Schizosaccharomyces pombe: one gene and its partner. Changing the gene in region 2 together with the main gene of any one other region gives a genetic interaction. Each region holds a gene or a part of one and is shown on either strand. Other genes may lie near its edges.

Region 1 (3,788 bases), on a different chromosome or scaffold from region 2:
AAATACATGAGGTTTTTTTCCATCGAAACGTATTGTTCCTGAAACAACAATTATGATATTCATATCATTACCCATGACCTGTTGACTATCGAAATCCTCAACTTTAGTTTTGGAGTATGGAAGATTAACTATCATAGAGGTAAATTCGGTTACTTGCATGGGTTTTCCATTCCATAAGATCAAACTATTTTCTCTGTAAAATTCTGCGATCCCATTTCTGTTCGTATCAAGAGATGAGTAATACCGTTGGACGAACTCCTGCGCATCTTTAATTGTTAGTTTATAGATAAAGCTTTAGTAATGCGGCATTTAACATACATTTTACACTCGACTCCATAATGATTCACAATGACAGAAATTTGTAGTGGTGTAAGTAGTCATTTAAACAGGTACATGTGTTATAAATTGAAATATTGTACTCATTAAGCGATATTTAAAGATAATCTTTGTTCAACACACTGAATGGATATTTCGGCTAGATATCTTTATGACTACGATTTTTACTTATAACATGAAGAGTGGAGAACAATTATGTGTACTCATTTGCCATACTACAAAAGCATAGATCACGTAAAAACTCAACGAATGATTAATATATTAGTAAAAAAATATATATTCGAATGTAACATGATAACTCGAAAGACAATTTGTTGTAAATGAAAACAAAAAATAAATATATGTTCGAAGAAATAGGTCATTAAAAGCCATGGTATGGCAAGCGAAGAAGATGGGAGAATAAGTGGTTTAAAGCTGAATCAACATTTTTTTGACTCAGAAATGCATTGGAAACAAAATGCTTTTTTACAAGTGCTGGAAGAATGAGGGTTCTGAGTGCTACTTCCTGAGAACGAAGTTTGTTGACTTAAAGGTTGAAAACCAAGATTAAAATGATGGGTAGAAAGATTAGGTCGAGGGGATATCATTGAAATTAATGAAATAAAGTTTCTTCGTTTTGTAGAATTGGAGTTTCGGACTTTTGACTTAGAAAAAGATCTACGTAAAGGAGTTTTAGGAGATGATAATAAAGGGTTCCTTCTTCTCGGTGAAGATAAAGTATCAGAGATGACGTGCAAAATCTCATTTTGTTCTATGCTTTTATGCTTGATTGTATCCAAACCACGCTGATCTGTTAATGTTCCTGATGAGTTTGGCAACAGACAAGATTTTTTTTCCAAAGCTGAAGCATCAACTTTTCTTGTTTTATCATTGATTTTTAGTCTCACGCATGACTGAGAGGGTATAGTTTCATTACAAACATTTTCCACAAAAAGTGAAGCTAAAGGAACTTCATCTGCAAACACACAATCTGACACCATTTCATCACGAAGTGATAGATTTTTAAATTTATAGATCTGGGGAGACTGAAAATCCTCTATATGGACTGGTGAAACAGCTTTTTCCCCTGGGTTGCCAATGCTTGAGTCTAATTTTTTTTCGTATCCATTTGACGCTGAGATTTCAAGGTTGTTAAATGTAGGATCCCATATATCATCTTTTGTTTTTAAAGCTTCTAGATGTCCATTATTAACAATAATTTCACCAGTTGCAAGATCTACTTCATCAGCTATATCAGAAGTGTCGCGTCCATATTTTTTGAAAAGAGATTCCAAAAAGTCGTTGTACTTCTTTTCGGACTCAATTCTTTTACAAAACACATCATCACAAGCCGTAGGATTAGTATTAAATTCGACAGACTGAAAAGACAACAGATGTGGACAAGAATAGTTTGGAGGCAGGTCAACGGCTTTCGGTTGACGATTGCACATGATTGAAAGTTAAAATCATTTGGTATTGAGAAATTTTGTTCAAAAAATCCTTTCCAATAAATTTCTTAAGGCAAAAATTGGAGATTTTCAGTTATTAGTAGGAAAGCGATTTCAGTAGTGGTTTATTAGTGAACGGTGCCATAACTGTAGACTTGTATTAGAGTTTCGTAACTAATTCACGAATGACTTTTAGATTTAATTTCTGTTAGAACTTAGAGATCAAAAAAAAAAGATAATGAAAAGTTCTTTTGAATAGTTTATGCAAAAGTGTAATTTCAATGATGGTCGCTTAACGCTTGTAAATTAACTCATTGCTCCAAAAGACTGATTTATCTGTTCTTGCACTAATTCTATACTGTTTAAGAATTTCTAAAATACATAAAATTAATAGACATACAATTTTGTAATAATAACGAACGCTGCGATACCTTGTGGATTCCAACGAACATAGCAATTCCACATTACTTTTTTAATGATAAAATGAGAAATCAACGATACCTAAAATAAAGAAAATAAGGATACTCGTTTTGGTGAATATTACTTTGCATCATTTGCACAATTTAATAAAAAAATCCCATAAGTTGAGCATTCCATTTGTCACATCGCCCCAAAGAAGCGTGACGATTCTTTGGCTTTCTTTCACAAATAATTCGTATTAGTTGAAAGCGTTCTGTTCGACAAGTTTAGCCATATTTTGATTGTTCATTCATGTAAATATGAGGATACGTAGCGCAGCTCCTCAATAGAATTCTTTTAGAAAGTGTCTATTGTACCAACTAGTAACTATTATCAATTCCATTACAACATAGAATTGGAGAAATCATCGCTAAATAATTAGAACAAAGGATGAATTGATCTCGGCATTGTTTGCATTCTTACTAAGTGCCAAGTGAAACAGACAATAGCGAGAACAATAGAAATGTTAAACAAAACGACAGAACAATTTGGACACGATAGGGAACGTATTGTAAAATAAACTATTTTTGGCTCTTTGTGACTTAGTCTCATGAACACAGTCTTCTATAACTTGAAGCAAAACCGAGTCGTTTCATGTTTCAGTTTCTTACGGTATGCTTGTTTTGAACAATTTCTTTACCGAAGCATTCACATGAAAAGAATTACTACACCATATGGAATATGACAATAGGAATTACTCATTCCCCTCCAACAATAAACGTACCCGTTACCTGAATAGCACAGCATGCCGATGAAACAAAGGAAGTTGAGTACAGCGCAACTCTTTCAACTACTCCATAATTGCACTTTCTTTAAAACACTACACCATTGTTTGAGCATTGTATAGTTCAAATACTCGAATTTCTTTGTATTCCTTCACCATGGATCCTAAGTATAAAAAACCGCATAGAGCTCCATATTTGTCATTACATTTGAAGGTTTCGTAAAGCAAGCTGAATAAGAAACTGCAATCAGAAAAAAAAGAAGGGAACGACGAAGACTTTGTTTTAGTACTAGTATTGCAATTGACAAATAGGTTCAGCAAGGAATTTTGATCACTTAACTCGATTTTTTTGAAACCTCTCTGATTTTGCCATTCGCTCGTCTACTTATTCCTCATTACCTTTTGACACTCTTTTGCTTTTTCATTTTTTAGTTTTTTTCAGACTAGTAGAATTTTGAAATAACTTCTCATTGCATTGCATCGCATTTCTCAATTTTTTATCTATCTTTTGATTTGAGTCTTGCTTCTTTTTAATACTTTCTTTTCTTCTTCTTTGAAAAACATTATTAATTATAATTTTTCTTTTATCGCTTGATCTTCCCATAATTCGTCATGTCGATTGCTTTGGCTTTCTTTATTCTCGTTTTGCTAGGATTTTCCTGGGCATCCCCATCTGCACTTGATGACACTTTTAACGTCAGTCGGTCAGTAGGTTTAATTTCATCTTCTAATTTAGAATCTTGCCAATCAAGCCCTCTCGAAGTTGGCAATATCTATAACTCAACCTCTGCTTCTGAGATTCTAAGTACCTTAGATGCCAAGTACATTACTATAATTGGTGT
Region 2 (3,733 bases):
ATACTGAGTGAAAGGAAGAAAACATAGTTGAGAATTCCTATTCATGTGTGAATATGACCTTGTGAAGAATTATTTAATTATTTTGAAATCAACAGCGTCCACTTGATTCAAAATAAAGTTTAAGACAGATGCACTTAGCAAAAGTTGATTCTTATGAGCAAGTTGAGTACTAACATATATATCCCGTCTCCTTTAACAAACAATATCTACATCATGATCAACAACACATACCATAACGGGCCCAAAGGACGTTGGCCATGGATTTAGACACTGGAGCAGTGACTGAATATCCTGAACGTAGAGATAAAAGACATTTCGCCATCATGCGAAAGCCATTGCCGTAAGAAGTCATTATGATGGTTTTTCCGTAACAAGTAATTTACTTCAATCTTGAATAAAGACAGCACAAGAAAAAACAAGAAGAATGTACGAAAGCCAAATCAACTAACAGTGGCTTGCTTATTTTGTATTATTGCTAGAGGGGGTTGTTGTATGTGGTAGAAGGTAAATATGCTACACCCTTATAAACACTGTAATATATTATATGGAGTATGAGTGCACGGTAGTGCTTTGAACCTGTAGAATCCTATTCGGTGTGTGAAACCAGTATGACCTATGGTAGGCCATTTATAAAACCTTATTAGGAAATGTAGCTGGGGGTAGTAAAGAGATTTGATGAGAGTCACTGTATTTCGTTAAACATTGTTTAGAAAGGATTTGGAATAATAAAGGTTTGCTACAATACACTAAATTGTAATAGTGTGATGTAAAGACAGCAAAAATGATAAACTATTAAGGATCAATATATGAAGTTGTTTTAAAGTTGAATTCAAAAAAATATTTATCAATTTCGGTTTTCTCCTTTTTTTACATTGACATTTTGCAGATATCCAAAAGAATAAAAATAGTATTGAAAGGTGTGGGACTCGAACCCACGAGCTTTCGCACTAGTGCCTTAAACTAGCTCCATAACCACTCGGACAACCTTCCTAGTTGTACGGTTCTATCCATAGACGAATATATACAGTAAAAATAAAAAATATTTGAGCTGTTATTCATACGAATGAATTATTATTATGAATTAATACCTCATATATACATTTGATATTGAACATTGTAATTAGTTTCAAAGGCATATGACTTTTTGGGTCACTGCCGGAACAATATCAGTCGTAAGGAAATGCATTGCTTGCCCGCACACGAGCATTAATGAATGTTTCCGCTAATTTGCAAGATATTCGCTCTGAACTTACAGAATGAATAAGTATGGTTTAGAATTAGAAATCACATTGGTTTCGCAGCTTGAGAGAAATGTTTGTTTTACATTGTAAATAGTAAGCTTATTTGTCGCGCGTTTATTGGTATTGCTATTTCTATATATAGAAAAAAAAAACATTTTCCTAATACTTCATCTCATCTAGCTCTAATATATCGAAAATTCCTAGAAACCCTTTTTTTGCGATCAAAACATTCAATTAAGCTACATAAGTTGTATTCTACAAAATGTCAGCGGTTCGCTGTATCAAATAAATAGTATATATAAACTCTATACCTCTTTTGTCTTTATCATCCCTTTAATCAATTCCTAGGTTTTTCATTGAAGACATTTTTTGCAAGCACCTACAGTATATATATCGTTGATTTTATTTACCTTCTTCACTAACCAATTTTCTTGAGCCTTAACACCTAAATGAAGCAATTATTGAAAAGTTGGATTTATCCAAATCTCAAAACTTTGTTAAACTTCATTTTAACCTAAAGTCATATCTTTAAAAAGATAAATCGCATGGCAAAATGTTGGAACAAAGTGAATCGCACGCGTTCATAAATAATGCACCAAAAGAAGATCGAATCCAAGTGAAATTTGAACAATTATTTGAATCTCTTCCTTTGCCATTGCGAGCTGAAGAAGCATTGAGTAAACTAAGACATGATTCTGCAAGATTGATGATATTAAAAACTTCAGATCCTACGTTAAATATGTCGACTTATAGTATAGAGGATTCTCCGATGGGCTTTGAATGCTTAAAATATAATTTAAGTGACAATAATAAATTACTTTCACAAAATAATTACCGATTACCAGACTATTTAGAAGAGGATGAAATAGTCAGCTATACTTTTTCAAAAACCGGTCCCACTACTTCAAAAAACAAGCATCCATCACATTCTAATACAATTAGATCACCTCCTTACAAAGTGAAAAAAGAATCATGTCATACAGAAATCAACAACGTGTCTAATGTTTCTACGGAAAGTATCAACGTTATTGATGCATCGAGGGGTTACTCGCCTTACACATCAGTGGATTCTCTTTCTGTGAGTAAAAACCGTTCTTTCATATCTCTTGAAGAATCAGCAAGTAACCAATATGATGCTGCAGAAGCTTTTTATTTTAATGCAGACTCATCCTCACCGTTGAGAAAACTTAGCCCTATAGAGCTTCCTGTGACTCCAATAAGACGCAAAACCCCTACAATTAACCCAAACTCAGAACTTAAAAGACTTCAAACTTTTGGAAAACTGATTTTGCATAAGGGAAGTCGTAGAAGGTAGTGAGTCCAATCGAACAAGAAGTATACAATAACGTTTCTTTGTTATTACGAAAAATTTTGAATGACCATTTTATAATGCAAAAAGTTACCTTAAGCGTGTGCAGTAATTTATTCAAATATCAATAATCCTTTTAAATGACTATACCGAGCACTATACTTTGTATGAGTAGGCTATAAGGATCTTTTTTAAAAACGTTTATCTTGGTTAGGAACACTAAATGCAATTAGCAACCACGCATATCAATATAGCTGTATTTTTTTATTAATTTACAATCCAACACCTCTAGCTCCCAATTCAATTATTACATTGCTTTTTGGAGCTTTTATTTAGCAGCAAATAAATTACAAGTTGTATAATTACATTTTTTTTTTAATCCTAGAAAATAAGCAAATCTTAGTTTAATTTTCGCTTATTCTAACATTCTTAATGTATATTGTATATAATAATAATTATAGTCACAACGAGATGAAGTATGCGAAGGTATAAGAGTATACAGCTCCTATGGTCTTGCCCTCGGTCAAGCTCAGTAACAAATTGCATTTTACCCAAGAACCAAACAACTCATATAAATGGACAAGCTCAAAGAAAAAGGGTTTGTTAAACTAGAAATTTATTTGGAAAATAAAAAGAGGTTGCATAGTATATTTTTGAAAGAAGACACGGAAGATGTTGAAAAGAAGTCACTGTATTTGATTAATGTTCCTATCACAACTACTGAAAAGATTTTGAAAAGAGCAATTTCTCAATTGGGCGGTCGTATCGTTAATATCTATCCTAATATTAGTGGCCTTTTGAAAAGTGGCACCCATTTACGCGTCAAATTAGTCGAGCCCGCTGAAGTTAAACAAGTTATCAAGGCAGCTTCTAAAAAGACGACCTCGCTTCCTTGGAAGTTCACACAGCATACTGGTTTGAAACGTAAGAACATGGTCATTATTTTTTTGGAAATACTAATGTGTTTAATAGGTTATGTAGAAAGTTATGATAGACAGTTTGTCAATCCACGTGTTCTAGCCGAAAGTGTTGATTCATACATGAAACGTGTTACTAAAAAGGAAATAGCAGAAAAGAGGAGACTATTCGCTATGAAAAATCAACCTGATGAAGATGGATTCGTAACGGTCGTTCGCAGCGGCCGGGCACCTGTCGGGCGACCTCAGGATGCTGAGCGTCAATT

Evidence for each region.
Region 1: of mis20 (region 2) and scm3, a mutation in one rescues a mutant of the other (synthetic rescue), as found in Schizosaccharomyces pombe (one study listed by BioGRID).

The regions. Positions count from the first base shown.
Region 1 is NC_003424.3:1,859,912-1,863,699, reverse strand, and holds scm3 (CENP-A histone chaperone Scm3), read right to left. Parts: upstream 1,894-3,788; 5' UTR 1,767-1,893; coding exon 756-1,766; 3' UTR 568-755; downstream 1-567. Other genes in the region: mRNA export receptor Nxt1, read right to left, coding at 1-266, 319-337; cell surface adhesion protein for conjugation Mam3, read left to right, coding at 3,559-3,788. UniProt on the Schizosaccharomyces pombe protein: Centromeric protein that plays a central role in the incorporation and maintenance of histone H3-like variant CENPA at centromeres.
Region 2 is NC_003423.3:3,208,228-3,211,960, forward strand, and holds mis20 (protein Mis20), read left to right. Parts: upstream 1-1,658; 5' UTR 1,659-1,794; coding exon 1,795-2,556; 3' UTR 2,557-2,936; downstream 2,937-3,733. Other genes in the region: kgd2 (dihydrolipoyllysine-residue succinyltransferase), read right to left, coding at 232-352; rRNA processing protein Rrp7, read left to right, coding at 3,126-3,474, 3,523-3,733.